Linked DNA regions of Schizosaccharomyces pombe. Changing the gene in region 1 together with any one later gene gives a genetic interaction. Each region holds a gene or a part of one and is shown on either strand. Other genes may lie near its edges.

The links.
Region 2: mutations in rnh201 (region 1) and mug73 together harm fitness less than expected from each alone (positive genetic interaction), as found in Schizosaccharomyces pombe (one large-scale study listed by BioGRID).
Region 3: mutations in rnh201 (region 1) and SPOM_SPAC1B3.02C together harm fitness less than expected from each alone (positive genetic interaction), as found in Schizosaccharomyces pombe (one large-scale study listed by BioGRID).

What each region holds. Positions count from the first base shown.
Region 1 is NC_003424.3:2,252,248-2,257,407, reverse strand, and holds rnh201 (ribonuclease H2 complex subunit Rnh201), read right to left. Parts: upstream 2,913-5,160; 5' UTR 2,821-2,912; coding exon 1,840-2,820; 3' UTR 1,552-1,839; downstream 1-1,551. Other genes in the region: pcf11 (cleavage and polyadenylation specificity factor), read left to right, coding at 1-551; adenylate kinase Adk1, read right to left, coding at 811-1,473; alp11 (tubulin-specific chaperone cofactor B), read right to left, coding at 3,236-3,940; ubiquitin ligase Btb3, read left to right, coding at 4,219-4,427, 4,496-4,587, 4,638-5,160. UniProt on the Schizosaccharomyces pombe protein: Endonuclease that specifically degrades the RNA of RNA-DNA hybrids. Participates in DNA replication.
Region 2 is NC_003421.2:622,442-627,216, reverse strand, and holds mug73 (transporter mug73), read left to right. Parts: upstream 1-2,689; coding exon 2,690-3,610; 3' UTR 3,611-3,701; downstream 3,702-4,775. Other genes in the region: rpl1202 (60S ribosomal protein uL11), read left to right, coding at 1-5; RNA-binding protein mlo1, read left to right, coding at 992-1,729; msy1 (MS ion channel protein 1), read right to left, coding at 4,158-4,775. UniProt on the Schizosaccharomyces pombe protein: Has a role in meiosis.
Region 3 is NC_003424.3:4,926,740-4,932,019, reverse strand, and holds SPOM_SPAC1B3.02C (Elf1 family transcription elongation factor), read left to right. Parts: upstream 1-2,474; 5' UTR 2,475-2,503; coding exon 2,504-2,569; intron 2,570-2,610; coding exon 2,611-2,657; intron 2,658-2,700; coding exon 2,701-2,771; intron 2,772-2,919; coding exon 2,920-3,059; 3' UTR 3,060-3,848; downstream 3,849-5,280. Other genes in the region: GTPase GUF1, read left to right, coding at 1-517, 669-707; cyclophilin family peptidyl-prolyl cis-trans isomerase Wis2, read left to right, coding at 1,005-2,075; SPOM_SPAC1B3.01C (uracil phosphoribosyltransferase), read left to right, coding at 4,102-4,200, 4,422-4,924, 5,017-5,074; protein Min8, read right to left, coding at 5,148-5,225.

The DNA.
Region 1 (5,160 bases):
AAAGTAGCCTTCATGGGATTAATCGCTGTTGGTTTGTGATGGAGGAAGAATGGGTCAATAGCAAAGAAGAGGAAGATTTAATTACAGAGACTGCTCAGGAAATCGAAGAACAGCGTCAAAAGCAAATGGAATCCGTTAGGTCACAATATGTATTGACACCCTTAGATCCAATTGCTGCGTCCGAGCCTTGTCCAATATGTCAAGAAAAATTCCAAAGTGTTTGGCATGAGGAAGCTGAAGTTTGGGTCTTTATGAATGCAGTCGAAGAGGAAGGCCGTATATTTCATGCGACTTGTTTGCAAGAAGTACGCCCGTCAGAAAACAAACATTCAAACACAAATACTAGTACACAAAATTTAGCGGAAGCAGCTGTTTCGTCTAATATTAAAAATGCTACGGGTGACGCTTCGAAGGACTCTCAACCTGATGTTCAAAATTTGTTACAAGGCATTGATATTCAAAGTATCCTTCAAGCACTTGGTAAACGCAAAGAGAGAGACGATTCAATGGATTCAATGTCTTCTAAAGTTATTAAACAAGAAAGCAAGTGAGTTTTGTTTTAACCTCATTTTTCTCGAGCTTTCGGATTTTAGCAATAAATTTGAATCATGTACATACAAAAAATATTTCTATATAATCAGCTAAAATATGAGTTTTACATACTGCTTATAGTAGTATAGCAAACTAAACAGTTTACCGAAAACTTTTGGGTTCAGAATATTCTATATTTATATCCTACGAACACTAGGCAAAAATATCTAAGTAATTGAAAAAGAAAGGGGCCCTTCAGCTCTAACCTAAAAAAAATACTTACTCAGCCTTCTCAAGAATAGCAACGATCTGCTCCCAAACTTGCTCAGGTTTTTGAGCAGCATCAACAGCAGCCCATTTACCCTTCTTTTTGTAAAACTCAACGACAGGAGTAGTTTGTTCGTGATAAGTGACCAAACGCTTGCGCAAAGCATCGGCGTTATCATCGGAACGTTGGATAAGAGGCTCGCCAGTAACATCGTCTTTCATAGGAACTTTAGGAGGATTAAATTCCAAGTGGTAGCTACGGCCAGATCCGGGATGGACGAGACGACCAGTGATACGTCTGACCAAAAGTTCATCATCAACTTGTAACTCAAGGACAGTATTCAAGTCAAGTTTGAGTTCATCAAGAAGAGCGGTAAGCTTTTCAGCTTGGACGACAGTACGGGGGAAACCGTCCAGGATGAAGCCGTTCTTGCACTCAGGATTGTTGAGGATCTCATCCTTGATCATACCAGTGACAATGTCATCGCTGACAAGACCACCCTGATCCATGATCTTCTTAGCTTCTTTACCGAGCTCAGTTTGACGAGCTACTTGAGAGCGCAACATGTCACCAGTAGCAAGATGGGCGATGCCATATTTCTTCTGAATGTTGGGGGCCTGAGTGCCTTTTCCAGCACCTGGAGGTCCAACTAAAATAAGTCTCATGCCAGCCATATTTGATCAAATTGGGTATCTATGCAAAAAAAAAACGAGATTCCACAACAAAGCGGTATTTGGTAGTAGTCTAAAATCGGACTGAGAAGTAAAAGAAGACCACCTAATTTTTATAATAGCGAACTTTAACAAGTCGTTATATTATTGTTGGTGCTAAACCAAACTCAATAAACAGAGCAGAAGCCTGGGGTAAATAGAACAATAAATTTATATTATTTTTATCTATAACCAAATGCTAATAAAGGTTTTCTACGTAGCTCCAAAAGCACGAAGCAATGCAATTAATGATTTTAAGCATAAATGTAAATTCGTATCACTCTCACAATTAGTCTTAGGCAAAAGTAGTGACAGAGTATAGTAACTAAACTAAAAATAAAACTCTGATCCAAACCACGAACGAGAAGCCGGATTCGGTTTCTTTTTCTGTGTAAAGTTCAAAGTAGGAGTATCGTCATCTTCGTGCCAATCTATTTCAATCGAAGACTGTGATTTGGAAGGTAATTCTAGTAAATCCTTAGCGGTTTTCCATGAATATCTAACTATGTCTCCCTTCCATCCGAAAATTTTATCGACATTTACTTTTAACCACTCGGTAGTTCGAGCGTCAGAAGAATATCCAGAACCCCAGTTCTCAGTTCGAATACTTTCACGAGCGCATTCCAGTTGAATATCTCTAGTAACTTTAGCACAGATAGAAGCTAAACTCACGATGGGAAAAAGGGAATCTGCTTTTTTAGTGACAGTGACTTTCGCTTGAGGAAAATGAGCTTGTAATTTTTCCTGGTATGATATTGGAGGTCCTACTGTATCCACGTAAATCTCTGTAACATTTATTCCTGATTCATAAACTTTTTTTATTAAGTCAATTGTCGTATCATGTGCTTGAAGATTTAAATTATACTTGTTCCGGTACCTCAGCATTCCTGCAGCTAATTCTCTTGCGGAAATAGACATAGTAGACCATCCAACGTTTTTTCCTAGCTCGTTAGATTTGTTGCAAATTAATTTCAGAAGTTCCTCTCGCTTTAAGGAGGCCAAAGTTTTACTGTCAGCAAACCCATAGTTGGTCAAATCGAAATCGACTGGACAGTAAGCGACAGCATATACCATAGGTCCTAAGACAGGGCCTCTACCAGCTTCATCTACTCCTAATCGATATGGCTGACTCTTGGAAATATCATCAGTGACTGTTGAATGATAGTAATTCGATTTTGCGGGATTCGATTTATTAACTGAAGGTGGTAAAAAAGTTATTGAAGAATTTTGGTCTTCTTGTAGCTCATTTTCTGAAGAGTTATTGTCACTGACTAGTTCTTCTGGTTCCCATGCATCGTGATCATCTTTCATGTTGAGATTGCTGCTTTGTATCTTTTAAAGAATTATCAGAGTACTTCTAATATTTGGCTCAAAAACTGAATAAAAAAATAAATAAAGGGGTTGAAGGAATGCGCAAATAGGCCTAACACAGTTTTCTTTCGTTCGTGGTTTTAATTAGCGGTACTACGGTAAAACGATGTAAATAAAAAAAAAAGAAAAGCCAGACAAACAATTCATTACAGTTATAATGCTTTCTTTGATTGAGTAAAAATATTTTAATTGAGAAATGACTAAACTAAATGATTTACTTTTTAGACTTTCATTTTTTTAGAAAATTGTTCATTATCTTAAGCGAGTCATCTCCTAGCAATCGAAGCCTGCATACAAGATTTAACAAAAAAAAAGGAAATCATTAACATGGAACCTTGTAAAACGAATAACAACATCAAAGACCTTCTAAAATATCTTCTGGAGGGAAGTCTCCTACTTCAACTTCAGAAGATCGAAGAAAGGATCCATGTTTATTTTTCGCATTAAAGTATCTCTTTCCGCTGACTGTCCCATCATTTTTCCCAACTGGTTCATCAAATTCGACGCCAACCCACAGATTGTCATTATTAATTTCAGGCACTAGTCCAATATAGCGAATAGTTCCATATCTCTCTCCTGCTGCACAGCACCTAGAATTTAAATTTTTTTGTAAGTCGACTAATTCACGTTTTAAAGATTCTTGTCGAGAAGCTTTACTTGCTTCAAAGTCTGGATTGAATCGTCCAAGCTGATTTCTTTTTTTCCAGGCATAGACAGAATCTGTCCTGTTCTCATACTGTTCACGAGGCATTACATATTTATCAACCTGTGAAAGATCGTCAAAGTCTAGACGCAAATGAGGAGGGCGTGTATCCTCAACGACTATAGTCCCCAGAGGCTGAAGCTTGAATTCCCCTAGGTCTAAATTCTCTTCTTCGCTAGTGAAAACGTGTCCAGGGACTGTACTGGAAGCAGGTTCATACGTAAGTTTTTGGTATTGTTCTGGTGTCCCTACGATAGGAACTAATTTGGTCTTAAGCTGACTAACAGTCCATTGTGGGTTAATCCTTCGTTCAGCATTTGCAGAGGAAGATTTAATAAAGAGAGTTATCTCATTCATGTAGCAAATAATTTTAACTTAAGATATATGATTAATGAAAACGGAAAACACAAGAATATATAAAGTGGTGGAAGACGTAGTAGTTAAATGCTGACGCCGCCTTGGTCAGTCGTTCACAAATCACATCGAACTTGAACAATTACATAGAACCCTCGTTAACCAACTACATTTCGCATATGATCAATTAAATTTTAAGTCGATAATACTGTTGAACATAAGTGCAATCTTTGCTCAGTATAACCTTTTAATCGGTTGTTAATTGTTCTTCATTTATTAAAATGGCTTCTCAAGATCAAAATACAGGGACAACACATGTCGAATTGCAAGGTGGTGAAAATTCTAAAAAGCTTTTCTCCAAGTATGACCTTTGGTCAAAGGCAATGGATGAGAAGAAGCTGTCTTCCTCACTTTTCACAGTAAATGATACCCAAGAATTTCTTGAGCTTTGTGAAGCTTGTCGGCGTGGAGATTTGGAAGTTGTCAAGAGGTATGTGCAATTTAAAAATATTGAATCGATAAACAATTTTAACTGCAATTGCTAAATTCAAAATCCAGTTTGGTCGAAAACTATAACACACCTATTAATCAAGTAGACCAATTTGACTACTCGCCTTTAGTCCTTGCGAGTCTTTGCGGGCATGAACCAGGTATGCTATGAATGTTTTGCTCTCAATTATTATATTTTCTCACGCTTAAGTTGTAAAATTTCTTCTTGAAAATGGTGCTTTATGCGAACGAGATACTTTTCAAGGAGAAAGATGTTTGTATGGTGCCCTTAATGATAATATTCGCCGTATGCTTCTTTCTTATGATATTACTAAAGCCATTGATGAGTCCCAACCTTATGCTAGTCACATAACTTCCTTGTTGTCGAACTCGGCTTTACATTTTACTACTGACATAGTCTTTGCCGGTCAATATGGTAGGGTTTTTGCTCATAAATTCTATTTAGCTGCCAGAAGTTCATATTTTAAATCAAAATTTTCGAAATTGGGACCCAGTGAACATGAAATTGAAGTCAAACATTTTGCTAAAGAGTTTGAATCAATTTTGCGATATCTCTACTTAGACACAAATGCTGTTTTCACCAAACAGTATAACAATGCTCTTCTGAGTATTGGAAAAAAATTCCAGTTAAACGATTTTATCGCATTGTATGAAAAAGATCGCGAGCAGTTACACTCTAGAGATTGGAAGAAAATCCAGTTGGCAAAAACTCA
Region 2 (4,775 bases), on another chromosome or scaffold:
AATAATCGCATACATAAGTTAATGTAAACGGATTATGTGCTTGCTTGGTAGTATACGGGTTTTGTATAAAACAGCAATGTTTAGATCTTGATGTTTTTGCTATCTTTTTATAGGGTTCAAAAAATACAGTGTTTAATATAGGTTTCTCTTGCATATCTGACATCCGGGAAAACATCCAAAATTTTGCACTGGATACTTTTAATTTAAAAGTTGTAAACGTTAAGGCGCTTGTAGTTTAATTGTGCTTTAATGATATTATTTGTTGTTGATGTCGGGTTTTTATAAATTGTATTCATGAAAATATTTCCTGGAATGGTAGAAAGAAATGTTCATACTTGATGAATGGTCCGTTTTAACACATTAAACTATGACTGTAATTACATGTGATTTTGTTTTTATTTTTGAATACTATCAACTGCTCTTGAGCTAAGATACTAAACTAATAATTGCCTGTTAAGTTCATAATCGTTGTAAGCATATAGTAAGGTAAAGCAAACGTAGCAGCAAATACCCAGTTCAATAAATGGAGTTTTTTCACTATCTACAAGTAAACTATAATAATAACTTTGTAAGGAACGAATGAATGATTTGCTCTTTCTTCAAGCTCTTTTAGTATTCTAGAAATCGGTTTAAAATGCCAATTCAAAATTACGATTAATTAAAGTAAAAAATAAATATTAAATAATCTAACTGATTACTGATTTTGATTCGTACATTTCATATAAAAGGGAGAAAGTATATCCCAACATCGTTTATAGACATTTTCTTTGAACCATCTCCTCACCATAGCACAGTAAACATTACATAGCGATACGCAAAATAGCACCACTATGTTTGACACAATCATCACTCCAATTCACTACGCTTCATTTGCGCATCCAACATGTCTCACTAAAGTTGGCTGGTTCGTACATATTCACCCTTGTCAACTGCGTATATCCCGAATTCAATAAACGTGTTATTTTGACGCGCATATACGTCTATATTCATAATGTCAGATTACAAGAGTCTTAAAGTTGCAGAACTGCGTGAAAAACTTGCGGAGAAAGGCCTCTCCACTGCTGGAAACAAAGCTGAATTGGTAAGCCGATTGACAGCAGCGACCGAGAGTAACGATGAAAATACTTCGAATAACAACGCTACAGATCTAGGAGATCTTGCTCCTCCCGAGGATGATATTGATTGGGGAGACATGGAGAATGATACTATTTCAACTGACGTTAACAAGCCAGCAGAACCCGAAAGTAAAGAGACCAGTGCTCCTGCCGCTGCTGTAGAGATTGAAAAGGAAAATGAAAGCATTATTTCGAAAGAGACTTCACAAGCTCCTGAAACTTCCACTGGTGCTGAAGAGCATCAAGAAACCACAGAGGAATCCAAACAAAGTGTATCTAATGAAGTCTCTAGCCCAGATGTAGCTAAAGAGCAAGAAAAACTCATCCAAAGGGCTAAACGATTTGGCATTCCTGTGGACGATGAACAAATTAAGAAAGCTGCTCGTGCTGCACGTTTTGGCATTCAACAACCTTTAGCGTCAAGTAATAACAAAAACCATAATCAATCTAAGAACCCTCAAAATCGTTCCAACTCACGTTCTAAACAAAGAAATAAGAATGCGCCTCCTAAAAGTGCTCCATCCAAGCGGAAGAGTAATATTTTGGACGACCCTATAGAGGCAGAAAAAGCTAGGAAGCGTGCTGAGCGCTTTGGTGTTGCTGCCAAGAATTAAAGTAACCATTTAACATATTTTAACTTCTTATTTTACAATATGACTCATGTTTCTTGAAGTTTTCTCCTCATGCCATGCTTTATTTGTATGCTTAATGCTTTTTTGATGAATTAGAACTTTTGAATTCCTATTTGTGTATATAAATTATACCCAGACTTTTGCTTCACTTTAAACAACTTATCCGAGTACAAGCATCCGATATTGGAGCCCTAAACGCTTCTAATTTCAATCCTACCTTTTAGGTGTGTTTTAAAACATCTGTGAAAACTCGGTTTTATTTTTTTAATAGCTTTTTGGGGCGTGATGTAAGTATTTCCTAGGCGAATTCTTTAATAGTTACCTATACTCATATGTTTTCCATTTTTAAAAAACTCTTCGTTCTAATCGTTTTGACATACACATTCGTTACAAAGATTTTCCACTCTGCTATCCATATGTATATATTTTGATGAGCTTATTTGTATTTAAGAAAAAGAGAAGGATTGTAATGTTTATATGATGTATCCACCTTTACTTCCAACAATGTCGAAATTCTTAATTTTTGTACATAAACTATTTTCTACAGGTTGGAATTTTATTTTTTTATTATACCTTTTTGTTTCTCAACTTCGGACTTCTTCTGTAACGTGCGACTTTACCTGTTTTGCTGTCATCGGTAAGTAAGAAAAAGTGAAAAATTTGACATTGCTGGCTGTAATGTTCTTTTGCGTTTTCTCAATTAGAGTCAATTAAAATGCCTTTTAATGGGAAAGAGTAACATCATTGTTTGTTTACATGTTGAAGTTTGTTTGTTTACAAACATGGCTTTTTAATCGACTTTTCTCAGAGCCACCTTCACCGTGTCTCAGCTACCCATTATTACAAAGTTTTGACTTTTCAACTCAACTAGTATCGCTACCTTTAAGAATATAAGAGTTGTTTCTATATCTTTTAATCCAGCCTCTATCCTGTTTACGCATCATGAATGCGAAATTATCTTCCTCCGGAATGGTACTGAAAGAGCTTCCGGAAGTCGCTTTGCAAAAGATAAGCTCAAACTACTATTGGGCTGTTTTTGCAGTGTTCCTGCTGTGCGCAATTGTCTTTCCTTTAGTATCGATATTCAGTTTGCCTCAAAAGCAGACTTACCACCGTTTCTTTTCCATCCTCAGTTTGGTTTCTTGCTTGGCCTACTTTACCATGGCCTGCAATTATGGATTGAAAAATGTGTTTTCTTCTGCTTCTTTTTTTCGAGAAGTTAGTGTACGAATGGTTTACTATGTTCGCTATATTCAATGGTTAATCAATTTCCCATTAATCATCGTAATGCTACATTGGACGGTAGGCGTATCTATACTAGAAATTGCATATGTCGTTTGCTATGTGCTTTTTGCGATTGTTTGCTTACTGGCGGCAGCATTAACTTCATCTCCCTATAAATGGGCCTATTACGGATTTTCGTTTGTAGGCTATTTTATTGCATTGGCACACTCAGTCGTTTTGCATAAAAAGTATGCTAGCCGTTTAGAGACGTCTGCGCGCCTAGGGTTTTTATGGTCAATTGTTTACTTACATGTCATTTGGTTCCTCTATTATGCATGTTGGATTTTATCTGAGGGCCTCAATGTTATCTCGCCAATTGGAGAAGCCATATTTTACAGTATATTAGATCTTTTCGAATTCGGCTTTTTTGGCGCTGCTTTTTCTTGGATGCTAGACTTGGTTGGTATTGAAAACTTTAAATCGCCTCAATCGATACCCTTAGGGGCATGCAGTCCTGCTGATGACAAGTTTTCAATGTGTCCGGACATGGAGGCACAAAACCAAGCTGATGATTTGGCCGTTGAAACTCGCATTCAAATTTCCAATTTACCTTCTTCACCTACGAAAAATAATTGCTAATAACAGTACGCATCGTTGCAGTTATCTTTGCTTAGTTATAGAAATTTACCTTCCGTTTTTTTTTTTTTTGTTTTTTAATCATTATTTGTTTCCTGAATGTTTAAAACAAACTCGAAGTTTCGCTACGAGAATTTCGTTGGCATTCTAAAACACAAACACTTTTTCGTGAAAAATTACGATTATGAAAACGAAATAATTATTATAAAAACGAAACCTTTGAACAATTATTAACGTTCATTCGCACTTGAAACGTCTAAATTTACGACGGTGAGTCATTGTTTACGTGAAAAAAGCATTATACTAGTTTTAGTTTAAGATTATTCGTAAATCATTTGCATAACTTTTACGAAACTTTACAAGGCATAGCTAATATTAATACAAAAATTTGCTGTTGAGATACAATATACGTTTAAACATTTCATAGAATAATAAATAAAAACTAAAAAAAAGAAACAAATAGTGCCCAAAATGGTAAATAGCCACTTTCAACGAATGAAGTAAGTAAAACTAGCATGAGCGATGCAAGTTTGCAAAGTGTTATGGGTATTTAAAGTCGAGCAGACTTAGAAGTATTATTTTCGTTTGGCTCACGTAAGTCTTGAATTGATATATGCTGCAACGGAGGAACTGTACGAGCACTGGGTCTAGCCGACAAACGACTAGCTTTAGAGGAAAAGCTAAAACGAGCACCTGACGTACGCGATGCATTTTCGTTTTCTTCATTCGAACTAGATTCTTGTTGAGAACGTTCGTACTCTTCCTCTTCGGCTCGGCGACGTTCCTCAGCTTCGCGTCGCATGGCCTCTGTGCCAGCGTTTTCAATGACAGCATCGGGAAGACTATCACGACCAAGCCTTTTACTTCCAATATCAGCAACATCATCAAAAGCAGGCATCAGATGCCGTGTTCCAAGGGAAAAGTCAACACGCTTTTTAGAAACACTAGCGGTATCGGAATCTGAACTACCAGGAGGAGTAGGTTCGCGGTAAGGATATGCTTTTGGGTTCTTCAGAATTCCTCCGCCAACAGTGCTGTCGCGATGATTTTCAGTACCACCACCATCATTACCACCAGATAACTTAACACCCTCCATTGAACCATTGTTGAAGTTGACATACATAGGTGAATCCTTTGATTTACCAGGGCTGTTGAAAATAGGAGATAC
Region 3 (5,280 bases), 2.7 Mb from region 1:
AGGAGATGTTATCAAGTTGTGTGAATCTTGTCGAGGACTCCAAAAGGACTGCACTTATATGTCCGAATCGCGATGCATGATAAAATATCAATTACCTCTTGCTCACCTGGTTGAAGATTTCTTTGGTCGATTAAAAGGGACAACAAGTGGTTTCGCTACCTTAGATTATGAAGAATCGGATTACGTTCCTGCTGATTTGGTGCGACTATCAATTTTTATGAGTGGAAAATCTGTAGATGCTCTTTGTTCTATAGTGCATCGCTCGCTTGCACTTCAGCGAGGCCGTGAATGGATTCAACGGTTGAAGCCGTTAGTTCCTAAACAACTATATGAAGTAATACTTCAAGCTGTCATCGACAACCGAGTAGTCGCCAGGGAGTCTATCTCGGCTCTTCGAAAAAATGTCACAGCAAAATGCTACGGGGGAGATGTAACAAGGAAGCAAAAGCTACTTAATAAGCAAAAGGAAGGGAAAAAGAGATTGAAGTCAGTTGGAAATGTTTCAATTGACAAATCGGTAAGTAATTACATTGCCTGAAGACTTCATCGAAATATGTTTTAAAACTATTAGGAAACACAATTTTGTGTTTTAAAATTTAAATACATTGTTGACTTCACTCAACAGCACTTATATTTCTTTATAGTCCGTGTGTGCTAACTTAAATCAGGTATTTTATGAATTTTTAACGAAGAAGCAATCTAATTGAAAAAAGTATAAATATTTTTTGGTCTAATAAAAAGTCAAATTTTCTTCTGCTAGCATTTTTTTAATACAGTATGTTTCTAGAAGTTTCGTAGAAAATCTCTTCGCAGTAGGTTGCAAATATAAATCACCACCTTTTTAATAACTAAAACTAAATAGTTTGCACAGATCTGTATATTTCGTCTGCGTAAAATCGCTATTCATTCTTCTTCTTAAAGCAACTTTGTGGTGTGAATACACTGAGGAGACTGGCAGTGAAATATCATTACTTAAAAACGATCATTGTTTTTTTTTGCACGAAATGAGTACTTACGCCTATTTTAAAATTAGCATTGATGGTAAAATTCAACCAACAATCTACTTTGAACTTTTCGACAACGTAGTTCCCAAAACTGTCAAAAACTTTGCTTCGTTGTGTAATGGGTTTGAGAAGGATGGCCGTTGTTTAACCTACAAAGGTTCAAGGTTCCATCGAGTAATTAAGAACTTTATGCTTCAAGGTGGTGACTTTACTCGTGGTAATGGAACGGGTGGAGAAAGCATCTACGGCGAGAAGTTTGAGGACGAGAACTTTGAGCTCAAGCATGATAAGCCTTTCTTGCTTTCCATGGCCAATGCCGGCCCTAATACCAATGGATCTCAGTTCTTCATTACTACTGTTCCCACCCCTCATTTGGATGGAAAGCATGTTGTTTTTGGCAAGGTAATTCAAGGAAAATCTACTGTTCGTACCATTGAAAATTTGGAGACCAAAAATGACGATCCGGTTGTACCTGTTGTTATTGAAGAATGTGGAACTTGCACAAAGGATCAGATTGAGGCACCAAAGCCAGACGTTACTGGTGATTCTCTGGAAGAATTTCCTGATGATTACGAGGGTGATAAGTCCGAGACTGCCATTTTCAAAATTGCTAGCGACTTAAAGGGAATTGCTAACAAGCAATTTGCTCAGCAAAATTTGGATACAGCCGTTGCCAAATGGCAAAAAGCTTTGCGCTACCTAATGGAATACCCTGTTCCCAACGATGACTCTAAGGAATCCCCTGATTTCTGGAAAGAGTATAATGCTTTACGATACAGCATATACGCAAACCTTGCCCTTGTAGCTTTGAAGCAGAACAAACCTCAGGAAGCTATTCGAAACGCCAACATTGTAATTGAGGCCAGTAACTCTACTGAGTTAGAGAAACAGAAAGCATACTATCGTTTGGGTTGTGCTCAAGGTCTCTTGAAGAATTTTGAAGAATCAGAGAAAGCACTTGCTAAGGCTGGTAACGATCCTGCAATTTCAAAGAAGCTTGCAGAAATTCGTCAAAAGAAAAAAGATTATAAGAAGCGCCAACAAAAGGCCTATGCTAAGATGTTTCAGTAATTCCAAATTAATCGGCGTCACGTGAATGCTGAGAAGTCAATTATGTTTTACGTTAATTTCTAGTTAGTCAATGAGAGTTTTATCGCATTTACAAAATAACCATAGAAGGTCAACTACGTTGCGAGAAAGAGTGCAAGATTTACTTATGGAGGATCTGGCTTCGTTTGTAAGACTGGTATGCCTACGTTTGCGTTTCATACAGCAAAGTATCATCATGAATAGAAAGAACTCTAGAAACAAATGTGCATCAGTAAACTCAATAAGAATATCATATTTAAACATTTAATTCATTAAAATTAAATAAGACCGTCTCTTACCAAGTGTCGAAATTACATGAGTTTCCGCATTACCCTTCCTAAGGATGAGAGTGCTAATGTGAACCCGCTAATACGAATCTGCAGTTTGCAAAACGTAAACAGATTCTGCAAATGGGTAAAAGAAAAGCAAAAGCAAAAGTGAAACCCAAAAGAAGGGCACCCCCATTAGATACGACTGTGAGTTATAGTTTAATTACGAAATTTACTAACTTTACTAGTTTACGTGCCTATTTTGCAACCACGAAAAAAGTGTGAGCTGTAGTCTGTATGCTTATTAACTACTTTCATTTTTTTTAACACTTTGATAGTGATAAACAATCAGGAGTTGGAAATCTACACTGCAAAATTTGTGGTCAGAGTCATCAATGTCTAATTACAGGTATGAAAGAGGTGTTTTATTTCAATAGCGGCACGTAAATTATTACGATTAATATTGCGGTTAATTTCTTTTATATCGTCTCTTTATCTTCTTATTTCTTGTTCTTTTATGAAATTTTCTTGTACACTTATTTACTAACATTATCAAGCTCTTTCGGCACCCATCGACGTATACAGCGACTGGATTGATGCTTGTGATGCTGTTGCAAATCAAGCTAAAGAGGTTGATAATATAAATGATCAAGAAGCCTATTCCCCTGAAGCAGCTTATGAGGAAGAAAAGGAATGATTTTTTGCTATTGGCCTAACTTGCAAAAGGAAGATTCTTTTCAGAGCTTAAATGTTGAAAGTTTCCGTTCATTTATGGTGATCTTATTTTCGTTGATGCTCAGTCGTTTCAATTAAGAGATTTCTCTGAAGCGATAAGAAGGTATTAACTACATTGCAATGAACAAGACGCTGTATTTGGCAAAACCGGACGAGCTTAGTGTATACAAATCTAGGCATGCTCTTGTATATATTTGTCCTTTTTAAAGACGTCGAACATACGAATTTCGAGATTCCATCTGATGAACCGACAATTGGACGATAGTGTTAAGCTTATTTGTTGGTATTCGGATGTACCATCAATATGGGTGTGATATCTTGCTCATTGGCAAGATAGCCATTTCATTGCTTTGTTTTTGGTTTGGTAGAATCGCTGTTCACTATGACAGGCTAAGAATTACGAGTGCCTAGAGTGTGGTTGACTTCGACCTTGTACTTATTGTATTCTCCATGTACAAAAAATGTCTAGAATGAAAGAGATATGAAAATATGTTCATGTGTTCTTACTGCATTTGATTTAAAAATCCTTACAATACAACTCATTTCTTGGTTTCTTGTGAATACAGTTGGATGAATTGAGAATTACAAGTAAAAAACATTGAAATCCAATTAAGATTGTAAGCTGCATGGAGTCCAATTGTATGAATGTGTGCTTCAAAAATTTGTACTGTCTTTCTCATTCTTAAATATAAGCAGTAATTCATTTAAAAACATCAACTTGCCCTAAAATATGTTCAATAGTTAATTGATATTCTTATTTAATTTTGCCAAGCCTGCTAGAGTAGAAATCTTTTACTGCGCTAAGTAACGCATTAATCATAATTATGTTATTATGAAATGATGTTGTAAATCTTTATTTATGTTTAACGAAATATACTAAGGTTGATAAAACTCATTTTGCTATTGATAGCTTAAAAGCAAATGTGTTATTGTGCTTTTACTTTTTACCATTTACTTGGTAAACAACTTGATAGGTAGATATTTAAGCATACATCGTCAAAAAGATGTCGCTGGTACCTGAGCATGGAAATGTGTACGTACTAAATCAGACAAATCAATTAAAAGGGTTGTTTACCATCATTCGTGATAAAACGAAACCTCGTGTATGCGCGTTCAGTTTACAACAGATTACTGAGTCAAGGTCTAAGAACTAATTGAAATGAATGTGTTAATATGTCCAAGAAATTTTAGCTTTTTCCTCTATTAATGGGGAGATAAATGTTTATCAGTGGATGATAGGAAGCATTCATTATCAGTTAGTACATTCGACAACTTCTCGTGTATTCTTTGTTGAATCTGTTATCCCTGCTAACATGATATTTAGTCTGAATTTATTTTTTATGCCAATAGAATCATTCGTTTAATTGTTGAAGAGGGCCTCAACCACTTGCCAGTGTCTTCAGCTAAGGTAACGACTGCTCAAAATGCTGAATACGAGGGTGTAATGTTTGATGGTCGTATTTGCGGCGTTAGCATTATGAGAGCTGGCGAAAGTATGGAACAAGGATTGCGTGAATGCTGTCGTTCTGTTCGTATTGGAAAAATTTTGATACAGCGTGATGAGGAAACTCATAAACCTGTGTTACACTACATCAAGCTTCCCGAAGATATTTCTAAACGCTATGTCTTACTTTTGGACCCCATGCTAGCCACTGGTGGCTCTGCTATTTGTGCTATGGAAATTCTTATCAACATGGGTTGCAAACAAGAACAAATCATTTTCCTCAATGTAATTGCCTCGCCTGAAGGGTTGAAAAATGTTCACGATCGTTTCCCCAATATACGTATAGTTACCGCCGTAATTGATGAGGGACTCGACAACAATGGGTATGTGCACGATACACTACAAGTGTTCATGAGGTCAATACAAAGTTGATCGCTATTTCATTCATGAATAATCTTTAACACATATGATTTAGATACATTGTTCCAGGTCTTGGCGATTTTGGAGACATTTACTTTGGAACGAAGGCCTAAAGTTGCTTTGAAAATTTGCTCAATTAAACACACAACCACGCACTAAACATTAAAAGACTAATTTTAACAGCACTTAATGAAATTGCGGTTTCTTAACTTTTGTCTCTTCTTTTTGTTGTGTTTGTGCTACCCAACTTGGTGAGCGTCGAATCTGTAAATATAGGTCAGTGGCCGTTGTTTAAATAGTAATAGAAGTTTGGAAATAA